Drosophila melanogaster: one gene and its partners. The gene in region 3 interacts genetically with the main gene of each other region. Each region holds a gene or a part of one and is shown on either strand. Other genes may lie near its edges.

Evidence for each region. Genes that interact genetically often act in the same process or in processes that back each other up.
Region 1: of ago (region 3) and sima, changing one suppresses a phenotype caused by changing the other (phenotypic suppression), as found in Drosophila melanogaster (one study listed by BioGRID).
Region 2: of ago (region 3) and puf, changing one enhances a phenotype caused by changing the other (phenotypic enhancement), as found in Drosophila melanogaster (one study listed by BioGRID).

What each region holds. Positions count from the first base shown.
Region 1 is NT_033777.3:30,061,337-30,066,437, forward strand, and holds the start of sima (uncharacterized protein), read left to right. Parts: upstream 1-1,585; 5' UTR 1,586-1,741; coding exon 1,742-2,202; intron 2,203-5,101. UniProt on the Drosophila melanogaster protein: Functions as a transcriptional regulator of the adaptive response to hypoxia. Binds to core DNA sequence 5'-[AG]CGTG-3' within the hypoxia response element (HRE) of target gene promoters.
Region 2 is NT_033777.3:24,646,528-24,651,640, forward strand, and holds the start of puf (puffyeye), read right to left. Parts: upstream 3,517-5,113; 5' UTR 3,160-3,516; coding exon 3,117-3,159; intron 3,019-3,116; coding exon 1,981-3,018; intron 1,864-1,980; coding exon 1,152-1,863; intron 1,076-1,151; coding exon 166-1,075; intron 105-165; coding exon 1-104. Other genes in the region: ash2 (absent, small, or homeotic discs 2), read left to right, coding at 3,702-3,817, 3,878-4,062, 4,123-4,467. UniProt on the Drosophila melanogaster protein: Ubiquitin hydrolase that can remove conjugated ubiquitin from target proteins and polyubiquitin chains. Essential for Myc-mediated cell growth and proliferation in developing eyes and wings.
Region 3 is NT_037436.4:4,250,852-4,256,492, reverse strand, and holds the start of ago (archipelago), read left to right. Parts: upstream 1-2,186; 5' UTR 2,187-2,365; intron 2,366-2,440; exon of another isoform or gene 2,441-2,504; intron 2,505-3,415; exon of another isoform or gene 3,416-3,466; intron 3,467-4,441; exon of another isoform or gene 4,442-4,511; intron 4,512-4,652; 5' UTR 4,653-4,691; coding exon 4,692-5,641. Other genes in the region: CG15011 (uncharacterized protein), read left to right, coding at 1-419; CG1265 (uncharacterized protein), read right to left, coding at 563-693, 763-883, 1,198-1,457, 1,525-1,678. UniProt on the Drosophila melanogaster protein: Substrate recognition component of a SCF (SKP1-CUL1-F-box protein) E3 ubiquitin-protein ligase complex which mediates the ubiquitination and subsequent proteasomal degradation of target proteins. Probably recognizes and binds to phosphorylated target proteins.

The sequences.
Region 1 (5,101 bases), on a different chromosome or scaffold from region 3:
ACCATATTCAATATATTTGTCTATTAATTTTCTTTCTCTGTATGAAATTGAACTTGATGCAGCGAGAGAGACGTATATAAGCGGAGTGAGGGAGACAGCGTGAAGGTAGCGCAGCTTCCGAATCTTTTTCGTTTGTTCAGTTGCGTGTGAGGTCTATATGCATCGCATTCGGTGTAAGTTATGATTCGGCAATTGCTGGCAGGGAAAGTTTAAATTTATATTTAAGGCGATAAATTGGAATCAGTCGCTGAAAATTCCCCACAGGTTTTGTGAAATGAGCAAAAATTTCGGATTAAGATTATTGCGAAACCTGTTTGGAAGTCATTTTTTTGCTAACAACATTAACAAGAACAAAGGAACTTCTTTCTTGGGAATGGATAAGATCTTTACGATGTTCTGTTGTAAACAGCTATTCCTTTGGATTAAGTATTAACCACTGGTCTTGCCACAACTCAATGAACTTCTTACGACATCTTTCGAATTAATTGGTCGTCGTCGGGTGTTACTGTAGCAACCTAAAGGATTGACAGACCTTCTATAAGATAGTCCTTGAATGATGCAAGATGAGACCATAGCTAACGATCACAAGGACTCCTGGCAATCTGCAAAAAGAGAAGCCCAAGAAGCTCACAATGTTAATAACTACTTTTACTGTTTTTTTATATGAAATACATTTAAACATCGAAATAGTTTAGTGATAGACGGGTGTAGCATAAACAGGTAAACAAGGGGTTATCGTAGTGATTTAAGTTGACCCTGCCTGTTCCTTTGCCTTCTCCACGAGCTGATTACATTGCGATTTGATTACGTTTGCTTGGTCTGGGGAACTAGCTTCCCTTATCTCGTTTCACTTTCCGTGCTGTTTGCCAAACTAATCCAAATATTTAACTCCTATGTTATAGTTCTTATCGGCCGACTAGGGAAATCATGGATAAGTCTGATAGTATTTAGTCATCCAAGCAGCTTTTCTCGCACAGTGAAAAAGATCAATTCTCTAATATTTCTTCTCATTTTGTGTGTGCGAATTTTGGTTAGTTTTCGAAATACCTAAAAATGGTTCATCAGTTCTGCGGTTAAATACTCAAAATTTTGGAATATTATATCAAATTTTCACTTCGAAGTGAGTGGCACTGTTTTCTCGGTGCAGAGATTCTAAAATTATAACATGACTTTGCCGTGCACTGCACTTTGTGAGCGAGGGAAATGGGCGGAAAATGGGTCCTGGACGTGCGGAAATTTTCCGGCGTCGCTGCAAAGTAGACTATATGGTCCGAGCCAATTATCGACTGAAGTGGGGCGCACTGACATAATTTATATGGCTCTAATTTGAATCCGCCACTCACTCGATTCGCTGTTATCGTCCCATTGGGCAGAACCGAAGCGCTGGCTCCCTGCCACCTGAATGCTTCTACGAGGCGGGCGGACCGGACTTTATCTTATCACTCCGGCCGGAGCGCACTTGTCCGGATAGGCAAACTTGTCTGATAGCACACGGAATATGACGTTCACGTCGGCTCTCCGCTCTTTTGCGATTTTTTTTGGTGCGGCTGCCCAGGTATAAATATGATGGCTTCGAGGCTATGGAACCTTTCGCTCATTTAGCGCTCGAACTCCCGTACGTCGTGTTCTACCAAAATATCCGGAGCAGTGAAGTTGTGGCCAAATCAAAACACTATCAGCTCTTATCGCACGCGTGTGTGTGTTCATCATCGATGGGCTTAGCCGGATTCCAGCGCACTCAATGTTTAATTCCTTCGAGAGCTGCGATTTTTCGTGTACCGGCGACATTTCGTTCTACGGCGAAGATGTGATCCCCGGTTCTAGTTTCTACGAGTGCGATTCCAAGCCGCAGCGGCAGCGGCAGCTGAGCAGAAATGGCCCAGCTTTTGGGCCAATGCCCATCAATGAACCCACTGTGAACTTTGGCAACGGGTCATTCTACAATGGCCCTGCTCCCGGAAGCCAACCCTTCGTGGGCGCTATGCTCGGCCCCAATATGTCCTCCACTGGGATGCAAAGGTACCATCCGTACCATCAGCAGCAGCCCCAGGACGCCTTCTATCGCCAGAGGGGATCGCTTCTGAACGTGGCCACGCCCTGTCGCGAAAGCCGCCCCTGGAGCTACGCCTACTGCTATGGCTACGCGCCCACGAACACTCAACCTTGCCAGTTCTCCCAGTTTGTCGACATCGAGGATTTCATGTGAGTGACGACCAAAGTGGTTGGTCAATTTGTTGTTTTGGGTAATTCTGTGATTTTGCGTTTTTCACGAAGGGTATTCCTTAATCTCATTATCAAATAGTATTCAAGTACGAATATTTACACAATTTTGCTTAATAATTGTTGTTACATAACTGTGGAGAGCTCTAGCTCATTCAAGTAAACAAAACAAAAACCAGTTAGAATCGGTGGCCGAATGCCGCTAGCGATTTACATTTTCCTGGAGGCACCTGAACGAGCTGAGCTCCTAGAAAATTGGCCGTGTTCCATTGTAAAACCCGAGCCGAAAGCAAACGGCGCTGCACTTATCTATGCTTATTTGTGAATCGCTTTTATAATAATATTTAGATACGCAGCAAAAGATAGGGCGAGGGGGACGGAACTATGGCGCGAGAGAGGTGTCGTATGAGTCAAGGTTCGGTGGGTTATTCCCAAGAGAGGTACCGTTTATAAGATTGTGGGCTGGAAAAGACTTTTTCTCTCACTTCGATTGTTGCGTGGAAATAGTAAATTGCTTGTCAGTTGTGCTGTTGTGTAATTGTTATCTGCCGCCGATGATTTTATGTGGGGTATTTCCCAAGGAGTTATCGTTAGGGGTCTGCTGAAGGTTTCACAATCCATCTGGTTGATGTATACGATTATCTGGCGATTGACGCAGATTACAGCCCCTTTCCCTGGACTTCACCTCCTTGAAAACTTTGCATGCAACGTGCGCAGCAAGCAAATGTTTTCGTAATGGTAGTCGGATTTGGTTTATTTACGTTTTGCACACGTTTAAGCCAAATTCGGCTGGCCCATCTCCATGCTAATGAGCCGAAACCAAACTGACGCAATTGCAGGACGGCGCTGCCCGAAGAACTCCACCCACAATATGGTGCTCCCAAGAAGAGACCAAACATCCCTGACCCGCTGTTGCGCCTCGATTTACTGTCCCATGAACTTGGCATTAGCACTTCGAGTCGTATTTTATGTGTTTTCGCTGATATCTCGCCCGGAGATACGGCGCACTTGGAGGTAGCTTGGCCAACATTTCGCAATGCTCGCAATTCAAACTCAAACAACAGCGGGTCAGTATCCTAAGGTGTTGTCGGATAAGCCAGCAGGACTTAGATGGCCACGTGCGGCGATCGTGGTGTTTGCATATTCAAACTCATTTCATACACAAAGTGCGGAAAATGGTATCTTAAGATCAGCATACTACATCATTATAATCATCATACGGAAGGGTAGTACACATATTAAGGTGTGCTTTCAATATTATAGCTTAATTTTGTTCAGTGTTTTGAGCTGCTTTGGAGCGGAAATACTTAGCAACAACAACAGCAGCAGCACCAGCGGCAATAACAAGGCAATTCTGCTGGCGCAGGCAGAATATTTAACATGCCGTACTTGCCTCTGTTCTAATGAACAGACAATGGGGCCGATCGAAAATATATATATGTATGTGCATACCTCCCAAACCAAAACCCCACCCCCCCGGCGAATATCCCACCATTTAAGCAGGCCATTAGCATGCAATTCAAAGTCACTCTCCGCCGCTTTCTATGGGCCACGAGCTAGCAACTATCGGATTTGTGTTTATTAATGCATATATAATATATATAGAAATCCACGGGTCTACGCCTATATTAGTATTCACTTTGCTGGCGAAGTAATATAATACTATATAATAATTATTTGAGCAGCCATTCGAGTTTCGCTTCAAACTTTGGTTTCCATCCATCAGTTGGTTGATTGACAATGAAAAGCCCTCTTATCTAAACTGGTTTCTGTTTTATTTATTTTTGATTTATTTGAATGCATTGTTTCTTCACTTTCACAGAGTTTCCTAATCAACGTTTTATCTGGGCGTTCAGAATACTCTTTTAATAATAGAAATTCTTTCGAGTGCAAAGTCAAGTTTAGCATTTGTTTATGTTAAGATTTCCTCTGTTTACAATCGATCGATTAGTGGGGTCCTATCTCATATTTAAATATGTCATAATAGAAGATTATGTTCAACAACTAAGTAGTTTGCTTCGATTTATTCAATTTATTTACTTACAGTAAAAGAAAACGGGAATACTGTTTTTAATAGATACTTAAGCCATTATTAGACAGGCGGCAGACTGACAATAGATCATATTGTACTGTGACTTTGTCGGCTGATATGATGGACTTTTGATGATTGCGACTCCTCCGTTGACAGGCGGTACTTAGGGTTTGTTAACAAAAAAGTTTGATATTTTCGCGTTGTTACCGGGCAGATTTTCCCAAGTGAACCACCTGACGTGTTCAGGTCTTTTTTCATCCCAGCGGATCAATAAAGCAGCGTTGGCAAATTTTGAACAAAATGCCAGGAAATAAATGTACATACGTGCTGAAATGGGCGTCACCCGTGGATTATACAAGTTCGCCCACTATATCGATAATAAAGAAAATATTAAGAGCCACGAGTTATGTTCTTGCATGCGGCTACTCAAGAGATTTTCTTGGCAGACTACAGTTTTTCCGCAGTCCCGCGGGAGGGCCATCCGTCTTTTCTTAGAATTTCCCGCAATATACTCGTATTGGCATAAAGATAGTGTCAGTCGTGTGTGTGAGGTCAGTGCTCTGTCGTCCTACAAGTGTGTACGATCGATTTGCCTGCTTGGTTGCCGATTAAAACACGTCGCCAATGTAGACGAGTCGATACCCAGGGTTTAAATGGGACTTACTCATCCAGCGAAGACAACTAACTCTGCAGAGTCGCTAATTGCCAAATCATCGGTGTTTTGTCAATCCCCTGGCGAAATATTCCAAAAGACCACCACCACGAAAATTGGTGCCAAGGCAACTTAGCCACTTTTTATCAGTGGAACGTGTGACTGCCGGCTATTCTCGGAATCCGAAACAGACGTTA
Region 2 (5,113 bases), on a different chromosome or scaffold from region 3:
CAACCCTCGATGAATTTCGTTCGCAGTTGGCGGTCCATGCTGAAGCACAGGAGAGTGGCCAGAGCTTTCTCCGCCTCTAGAGCCAGAGACTCGCCTAGTTGGCCCTGCAAGATAAAATTAACGTTACATAGGATTCAAGGACAACGAAAATCCAACACAACTTACAATTTTATCGTCTTGAAGCAGATCCCAAAGCAGTGTGTTTCCGGGCTGGCAGACATCATTTAGCTTGAACGAGGGCTGCACCGGTGTACTCCCGGACGTAGAGCTGCCCTGGCTCGCCTTTGGTGAATGGTGCTGCTTTCCGCCGGAAACCACATCCATCAGATCGACATCTGAGTCCGATTTTGCCTTGGCCGCAGCAACCACGGCGGCAGCTGCAGCAACGCTGGCCTGCCGGTTCATTGCCACCAGCGTTTGCTGTGCAGTTCCGGTAGCCGCTGCAGCAGCGGCCACAGCAGCGGCAGCAGCAGCCACATTCGACTCTCCAGACTTCTGAAGGGCCATCGCCGACTGGGCCACCATCATGGCGGCGGCAGCGGCTGCAAAGGCTGGTGGAACGTCCGAACAATTGGCGCGGGAGCTGACCAGCTGGGCCAGCTCCTCCTCGCAAGGCGACACGTCCTCGTCATCGAAGTCAGCCAGGTTCTTTTCAGATTTGTTACTCATCGGGGATGAGTAACTGCCATCGTTCTCGGCACCACTGAGCAGCTCATTGATATTGGTCTCGATGGCCCTGATAAAAGGTCCCTCTCCCTGCAGATGCTTTAGCACGGCGTCGGGTACCAGCTGACTCGTAGCACCATCGCTGCACTCATCGCTGTCCGCTAAAAGTTCGCCCTCGCCATCACCATCGGCTTCGCCATCAGCCTCGTCACTGCTGGGCACATCTTCAACTCCGTCCCAAATCTCGACCAGCTCATGGGGCAGAATGATCTGTTTGTTGGTTTTTTGTCGCCGTCGCTTGTTGCTCGTCTTTTTGCGGCTGCGATGCAGTTGCAGCTCCAGTGCGGCCCGCGATTGCAGCTCCTCTTCACTGCTTGTGTTGTCGATAATGTTCACAATCCGTTTGTTCCTGCGTAAATTGGTAAAATAGGTGTTACTTATTACGTCAATACATTTCAGATTTTAAGAAGAACTATTTTACTTACACCAAGTCTACTTTGGCCATATCCTCGGGACTTATTTGCTTTCCCTTCTCGGTGGTGGGGTCACAGATGTGCCGCCTGTGCCGGGCCTGCTTGCATGGAGTAACTCCATCGATTGGACTCTTGTTACCAACACCTCCGCCGCCGCCACCGCTGGCAATGCTACTGTCGTCGGCGCCCACGTGGTCGTCCTCTGTGTTGCTGCCCTCAATGCTGCCGCTGTCAGAGCTGGAAGCGGTGACGTTGGACCCCAGCAGGTGGTCTTGCATCAGGTTCATCTGACTGCGTGAGGTATCACGAGTCCACAGCTGTTTTGTTAGCGCTGAGGCTATGTATATGCTCTGCTCAGTGTGCTCCTTGGGATCCATGCGGCAAAGGAGGGAGTAAAGGTGCATTGCCGGGCGCGGGGTCAGATTCTTCACCAGCGAAGGCAGGATGTCGAAGATCGTCTTTGAGCAGTGCTTCAGCTGGGTGGCTTGCCAGATCAGCTTGATGTCCTCTTCAGAGATCTGGTTCTCTACCGCCAAAAAGTTGAGCAGCACGTGTGCCTGTTTAACGATTTCTACGTGCAGATTCGGGCCAAACAGGTGCTGTACAATATGATTTTCAGTCAGCCAGTTCGCGATGCGCTGCCCGAACAGCTCCACTTCGTTGACCGTTTCGGTGGTGCAGATCTCGTTAAATAGATTAATGTGTGCGTTGATCTGGGCCATGCCTGGAAAATATTTGAAATCATTTACTCTTATTATATAATATTTATTGATAAATAAATATAATATTTCAGCATTATTCGAAATGTCCTAATTAAGTATGTCAACATCGTAGGACATACCTGCCAGTCGCATGGTTAGCGTGGTCGATGTGAAGTACTTAAAGGCCAGGGCCAATCCTTCGGTGTCGAAGTTGACAGCAACATCCAGTGGGTCTCGCATAGAGGACCACACAAAATCGGCCATCGCGCGGGTTGCGGCAGATCGGAGGCTCTGATCCGACAGCTTGCACATGTACTGCAGTATCCGACTTCGCAGCGGCACGAAGAGCTGAGTATTACAGTGATAGTTCAGCCAAAGTTTCACATTTGAGACGGCAGCGGTCATCGAGTGAGCGGTGGACACTGGCAGATCGGGATGTTCGAAGCACAGCGACATGGCGCCAAAGCCGCCCGAGTTGCAGAACAGGCTCACATTCCGCAGCAGATAGATGGGCAGGTCGTTGTCGTGAAGATCGCAGATGAGGGCCAGGTGGTGGGCCTCCTCAGCCTGCAGGTCGTCCAGCCGAGAGTGCATGCCATGTTTGTGGGCGATGTACAGCGGGAAGTTGAGCAGGAACACCTTTGAAACGAGCACCAACAGTTTCTCCACCTCGGGCAGGATCCAGGGCTCCTCTGTGTACTGCAGGTGGGATTTGTGCTGAGGATTGGCCGTTTGCGGGGGAGGGGGAGTGCAGGGGCCAACTGGCGGCTTTTTGGCTGGCCCGTCGCCGGAGCCCTGAGCCTCCTCACCGGCGGACCCAGATGGCTCCTCCTTCTTAGGTTCTTCCGCTGGCGCGGATGATTCCTTTGCCTCTGCCTGGGCTGACGCTTCGTCCCGCTGCTGTTCACGCTGCTGCTGGGCCTGGGCCACCACCTGGGCAGCACTGGCCGTTAGCCGCTTGTAGTTGTCGATGAGGTGGTCGATGTGCTTCAGATGCTGCACCGTCAGACAGATGAGCGACTGCACTACCAGGTTGAAACGGTCATAGTTCTTGGTGTCCCGGTACAGGCACATGCACTGACGCTGCGGCCACGACTGGATGTAGTTGAAGGTGGTCTCGATCTCGCTCTTCAGCAGCAGCTGGAACTTCAGATCCGAGCTGGCCACGCGCACCTCATCTGCAAAAGGAATTCGGAATACTATGTGTAAGCAGGGGGCAGGGGCTCCGGTGTTCGTCTTCATTCTATTTTTTTTTCGCAGTGCACTTTTCACTTACAGAGCTCCAGGAGATTCTGGAAGTCGGCGCACACCTCGCACATGGTGCTCCACTAGCTGCACACCGAATCGGTAGCTTCCAGGGGTTAGGGCCGCCTTGCCAGCGGCGACGACTCCTGGCCGTCTATGGAGAGTAGTCGGAGTCTGGGATACGCTGGCGGAGTCACGGTCTGAGTTGCGGGCACTTGCTCTTCTTGCTATTCGTTGGTCGCTCGGCTCGCTCCCGGCGGTCGTGCAATGCCATTTAGGATGGCGCCCTCGCCTCTCAACACGGAACACTGTTTTTCGGCAACAAAAAAATGATAATTCTACACTCGGACATATATATATGGTAGGGATATATATATATACAATTACAATCGAAGCAAGAGCCAGAGTTGGAGCGAAGAGGCAGGGGCAGGGTTGTCAGGCTGTGTGCTCTAAATGTTGTCGTCTATCGTTTATCGCTCTTTGGCGACGTTCTGGTATTTGCAAACGCACCATGTGTTTGCCCGCCAACGGTCACTCTGGCCAGCCACCGAATTTCTTGCGGGCCGCTAATATTTGTTTACATGCTAATTGTTGACTGAAAACCTTTATCACTGCAATGGAGGACAGCCAAATGGACACAAGCTCGCCGACAGAGTCCAGCTCCGAGGTGAACTTCACTGCGGAGGAGGATAAATCGCAGGAAACGCGTTCCGCAGCCGGCGTTTGTTACTGGTGAGCTCTTTGTATGGGTTTTTTGCTTGGCCGGCTCCCTTCTATTGACATTGTTTTTAGCGGCAAGGAGCGCAATCTCAATATTGTGGAGCTGCTGTGTGCCACCTGTTCACGCTGGGTGCACGAGACCTGCGTTTCCTACCAGCTTGGTAAGGGTAAACTTCTGCCCTTCATCACCAACTATGTGTTCGTCTGTAAAAATTGCTCTGCCAGCGGATTGGAGAGCTTTCGCAAGAGCCAGGCTAGTAAGTGCAAAGAAGCCCCGCACATTTATCCCTCTTGATAATAACAATATCCACTTCCAGCCATATCCCAGATGTGCCACTGTGCCATTGCCAACATGCAGCAGGCGGCTTCCAGGGACGGACGTCGCCAGATTCAGTTTAGCAAGGACAAGGAGATCATACCGTACATCGAACAGTACTGGGAGGCCATGACCACCATGCCACGCAGACTCACCCAGTCCTGGTACAGCACCGTCCAGCGATCTTTGGTCAAGGATGTGCAGACCCTGTTCACCTACGAGGAGCATGCGGAACATGGCGCCATGTACGGACTATTCCATCAGGATCTGCGAATCATCAAGCCCAACTACGAGAGCATGAGCAAGAGCGGCGCCCTGCGACTCACCGACGATGGATATACTCAAGGTGAGTGTAAATAAGATGATAGACATTTAAATCGATTTGAAGTCTATAATTTGAATGCTAAAAACTTGACCCCATGTGTTATCGAACGCTCAGTGGTAGAAAGCTAAATGAATTATCTTTTGGCGGCCAAATTGGCAACACTGTTCGACCAGCTGATTTTGGCACAGTGGTTTTTGTGTCGCCTATTCCGCTGCCTATTCGCTCCCCCTATTTATCGCCGCTTCCTTTCGCACGCTCTTTCGCAAGTGTTTGCCAGAGTAAAGTAACAACAACAACTAACAAAATCGCAATGCGGATCGTAGTTTCAGATTTGCACACACACAGAGAAAGAGAGAGAGAGAGAGAGAGCCCCACGTAGTCAGATTGTGGGCGGGGCGAAGTGGGGTGGGGTGGGGCTGGCAGAGGCGCGCTCAACTTGGCTCATTCATTACAAACAAATAGTTACGCTTGGAACACTTCGCCAGTGTCTCAGTGTGCGTGTGTGTGGTGCTCTTTCGGGGGAATTGATTGCGATTTGATTTTGAGCACTACGCAATTGCAAGGCCCCCGCTCCTTCAGTTCCATTGTGACCGGGTCCTGCTTCTGCTCCTGCTCATTCTCCCTCCGCGATGGCGTCATCTTTTACGGACGAGGAGTGTAAGCCCGG
Region 3 (5,641 bases):
GCGGACATCGCTGCACAGCCATCTGCCACACAGGCAAGTGCCCAAATCCCGAGTTGTGCCGCAAGAAGGTTCGCATTTTCTGCGCCTGCAAGCGACTCAAGCAGGAGATTGCCTGTGACAAACACCGTGCTGGTCAGACATTCTTGGATTGCGACTCGAACTGCAAGGCGGAGCAAATTCGCGTCCAGGCGGCAGAGCAACTGCAGCTGGAACAAAAGCGTCGCGACGAGGAAGAAAGAAACCGCCTGGAACTCGAGAAGTTCGAGGCCAAGTTCGGCAAACGCAAGCACAAGGAGCGCAAAACTGTGGGTTCTGGACCGGCCAAGACCAAGATCGATTGGCAACGTAGAGCAATCTATGCAGTATCCATTCTAACAGTTGTGGGTGCAATTGTGGTGGCTTTCTACGCGGACAGTTAAACGAGTAACAACAACCGATTCAAACAAGAATTTGTAATATCAATTTAAACAGATAAGCAAATAGAATTAAAACAATGACTGATAAGCATTTCCAGCCAGCGCAGTGTTTGTCTATGTTGAGCTTTTCTAATCAGGCTGGCCAATTACTCCGCCTTGGCCTTCTTCTTGTAGACGCAAGCGGCGGTGAAAACGGAGGCGCTAAGGAACGTCGAAATCAGGAAGTTTGATAGCAACATCCAATCGTGGGACTGGAAGAACACCGTGTAGATTCGAGCTGTAAGGGATACATATATGATGTGTTAATTGATGACATCAAGTGATGGAATGCAAGATGTGATCTCACTCATGTTTGTAAAGGCGGAGAGCGCCCATGTGGTTCTACTGACGGAACTGGCATCCTTGGTCCTCAGAATAGCCAGCAGCTGGAGGACCTTACTCGTGGCTCCAATGGGAGTGCAGAAAGGCTGACGGGAAATCAAACATTTAGATGAATTTCACGAGATTTATATATATTGCCCGAGCACTGAAAGTATTAATAGCCGCTCAAATATTATACAACAAACATCGGTGACCTTGAGCGAAGATGCTGCCCAGTTAAGAGCACCGCCTTTTCAAACTAAAACAAATAACAAATCAAACCAAACCCGTTTGCCCGGAAACATAATTAGTTAATTGGAAAAGAGAGCGGGGAACGGGTTTGAACTGCGCCGAAGTCGTTATCTGGGCAAGAATACCCGACTAATCAGTCACTAGGTGATATCAATACAGGCTTACTCACCACCAGGAACTTAAGGATGATAATGGGAAAGAGCTTCATGTATATGAGAGTGGCCACTATACTATACAGTATGGCCACCACTTGCGTCCTCCTTCCCAGCAGATCCTGGTACTTGAAGGCGTAGTAAATCAGGGCGTACTCCTGCAGCAGCAAAACAGGATACTCCATGTACGAGAGGAAGTCGTAGCCACTGGTGTAGTTGTACGACAACATCACCGTATAACTGAACAGCTCCAGGCACAGTCCCAAAACACTGATGCCTAATTCATAAATCCGTATCATATGAGTGGGAGGATAGGTTGCAGATGTTGTGTGGGCGGTGCTCACCTTTCGAGGACTCGTTCGCCCGTATCGTGTTTATCTGCGGAACCTTGATCACCAGGCAGGACGAGACCGTTATCAGGCTAAGGAGGTCCGCCACCACGAGCACTGGGCCGCGCTCCAGGTATTCGGACACCACATCTCCGAGAGCTCCACTCATAGCGACCGTCGAAATTCGAAATTTGCAGCTTCTGAGTGTGACCTTAACATTGTGTGGACGGAAATGCTAGTGTTACCACACTCTATCACTAGTAAACAAATTAACGATATTTGCTGTAATGGTTTCTAATTATTTTATAACATAGCAATAAATAACAAACTCATGTCATTTTTAGGGTTTTCAAGAAATTTCTATAAGTTATAAAATATAAGTATAAAAATTAAAAACTATGAAAATAGAAACAAGTTTTTTAAACATATAATAATTTTAGTAATTAAGCAATCAAAAATATAATATAAAATATAAGCAATCAAAAAAGAAAAGTAGAATTGCTGAGCAATTAAATTGTGTAAGAAACACGTTTATTATTACAACACATAAATAATTCATGAAATCCATACATATAAACAACTTGCAGAGTATCACATTTTTTAAAACCAAGCTCGAGTCACGCGGAGACCATCACATCCCTAACTTAAGCCGTGAATTCCCATGGTATATTTGAACGGTCGAGCGGTGGTCACACTGGATCCGCATTAGTTTTTTTTCGGGTCCAAAATCTGTCCAAATCCGCAAATTGCACGCATATTCTAGTATCTGAAAACCAGAAATTTAGATAGACTGGGTACAGAGTCATCTGAAAAACGCAAAAATTAGGCAATCTCCGAGGAGCAACGTCCTTAAAACGTATGTGAAAAATTCGATTGAACGTGTGTGTGCTGTGTTGCGCCTGTATGTGTGAGAGTGGGCCCCAAACGCAAAAAGTTTTACACGCGTTAAATGTGCAGTTGAAAACCTGAAAACAAATTGTGCCCGCTAAAGTGGGGTGTGTTTTTTTAGTGCCCCCTCCACGTTGGCTGCCCTTAAAGTTTATAAACAATGTGCAAGGCACCACGCGAACTCAAACTTTAGCTGCGAGCGAGCGAGCGAGTGGGTTCGTCTGTGTGCGTGACTCTGCCTGTGTGTACAACAATGTCCACATTTTTCTTTTGTTGTTTGCTCCACGAATTATGGGGCTATCCCCTCCGTGTTCCAACCGCTGCATTTGCAGGTGCAGAAAAGTGGGGTTAGGATGGTCAAAGAGTCCGTAAGGAACGCTCAGCGTGCTGCAATCGCTGCTCTGAATTTGCAACGAAAGTAATCTATTTTTGGGGGATTTGGGACCACAGGTCTCTGCCCATTATCCGCGTTGGTGTGCGTCTGTGTGTATGCAGCGATTATGACGACTCCACACCCGTGGCTAAATCCACAGAGAGAAAATGTTCTCGAGCGCATCCCCGATGTTCGACCAAAGTGTCCTGTGTGGCACAGGTAAAAACGCGTATCGAAATGCGGTGTGAAAGCGGAGACCCTAAAAACATATTTTACGTTTTTTCGGGAGGTCAACAGCCAAAGGCCACGAGCCAGGGGTGGGGAAGGAGGAGGAGGAGGAGAAGCAGTAGAAGGAGGGTGGGAAGAGAATGAATACGAATATGGGAAAATGTTCGGGAGAAATGCCTGCACATCTGATCTGTTTCGGCAGTGATGCAACAGCAGGAGCGCTGAAAATTCCTTTGTGATCTCGCCCCTTTTGTTCTGCGGATGCTGCGCTGCAATGGCTGATCTTTGCTTCTTCTCCTTCTCCTTGGTTTTCTTGTCCCCTCCCCTGGATCTTCCAATCTCTGCCTACGGCGATCCCTTTTTCTACTCTCTCGGGTGCGTGTGTGTGTCTGTGCGCTGGTAGGATGTGATGGCCAGTCAAGCTGCTGTCAAACATCAGAGATGCGCAGCTGCGATTTTTCAGTCACGGTGAATGGAAGCTGGCTAGGATCAATGAATTTCTAGAGAATAGGGACTACTATCATACAATTTACAAACATCTTAGCCCTAATAATTAATGATTTCTTTCCGTTCTCCAGGAAAAGAAAGTCAGTTTGCACAAATAATTTGTTTTACAGAATGACTAATATCTTGTTATTTGGAATTTCGGTTTCGACTAAATGTTTGCGATTTTATATAGCCCATGTAAAAAACTCACGTTTTAATGTAACTTTTTAAAATGGATGACTAATACGTATGTATTTTGGAAAGTCAACAACTCTGTGACTCAGCATATTGGCAGAAGTAATCTTAGCTTGGGCTTGGCTCAGCTCTAGTCAGCAAGAAATGTTTCGTGACTATAGATTTCACAGTTCTATTAGTAACAACCAACGCAGTTTATTAAAACGATTTACTAATGTACATTTTAACTTTAGTTGGGTGTCGAAACTATTTGAATATGGTCATACACTTCTTTAGTATAAAAATTATTTGGAAGGCTTTTCCTATTAGTTCGGTGACTGTTTCCCGATCACCAGTGACTTTCCCGCGTTGATCATCTCTGAAAGTCAGTAAAAAGCGGAGGGAAAAGATAGCGGCTTGAATTGCAAGGTGTACGTGGTGTTGTTGTTATTGTTGTTCTTGTTTGGTGCTGCGGCTGCTGTGTATCTTTGGTGCTTCTTCTTCTCACGTCCGTTACTTCTCGCTCTTCACTCTCTTTACAATACCTTTTGCTGTTGTCTCTCTTTTTAGGGTATGTGTGTGTGTCTGTTTGTGGTGTTTTTGTTGTAATACCCGTTTCGTCTTCTTTTGCCCATTCTACTTCGCGCCGTTTTAGCCTCTTCCTCGATGCACTTTTGTGATTTCCTTTTTCGAGTTCCAACGACGCCGGCAGAGGCAGCGTCGTTACAACAAATTTTTCCCACTGCTTTTCATTCCCTTGGATTTAATTTTTTTTTGCAACCATCAGTTTGCGCTTGTTGCGTGGGAATTTCGGATCATCTTGGATTCTCAGGGCACAAAAGGATCGTTCATTGTAAGCGGTGTAAAATTTGTCATACCTTGGGTTTGAAATTTTCATAGCGTCTATTTTCAACACTATTATTCACTTTTCCATAAGTGCTTCCTCGTGTTACCAGCTTCCAACCATTCGATAACCAATCTTTAACATTTGCAGGAGAACGCATTACCCACTTTTGAATGCCTGTAAAGTATTATGGAAAGAGGATGCCCAGCTGCTAGCAGTGAATCCGTGACCAGTGCAGGGGAGCGTACTCAGTCAGCAGTCACCAGCTCCACCTCCACGTGGGTCAAGAGTCAGGCCTCAACCAGCCGAAAAACAGAAGCATCAGAAGAATCGGGATTAGGAGCAGTAGACGCAGAAGTAGGAGCCGGCAGAGAAGCCTTTGTATCTATGTCAACGCTGCGGGAGGATGTGGAGGACGTGTGTGTGTCGTCAAACTCACAACATGGTTTCGCCGTAGTTTTGGACGACGAGTCCAGCACATTTGAGATTAGCTCTTCCAACTCACTGCCCACCAGTGCGGGGGCGGCGTCCACAGTGGGAGTGGTGGCCGTCGACGACAGCTCCTCCACGGATACCTTGAACGGTGGTCATCCTGACTTAGGTCACCCCGCCTCATCGGAACACAGTCGTCAGGGCTTTTTTAATGAGGATAATGAAGATCCTCCGGTTGTATGCCTTATAAACGACGATGACGATGATGAGGAACCCGAGCCGGAGGAGGACGATGAGGAGGAACTGATTGAAGACGAGGACGAGGACGCAGTGGACATTGTAACGGGCGCCATCAGCTGCCCCAACACATCACAGTTGGCTTTAGCCGACGGCACCATCATGGCGGCCGATGGATCTAAGATCTTCCTGGAGACGCCCGTCGTGGAGGAGGCCCAGCCGCATCCCGGTCAGGTAGTCACAACGGGATCCCAGTCGGAGCTCACAGGCAAGCCAAAAAGATTGAGCGATGAGTTCTTGCTGGGTGAGGAAGACCAAGCAGAGAACCTGGCTTTGGGAAGATGTATTAAGTCTGAGCCGGTTAATCCCGTGGACGACAATCCATCTGAAGGCGACGATGGGGCTACTTGCTTCTCACTACATGACCGTCTTATGTCAGTGCGCCTGAAGCAGATGAGCCTCACGGCCAA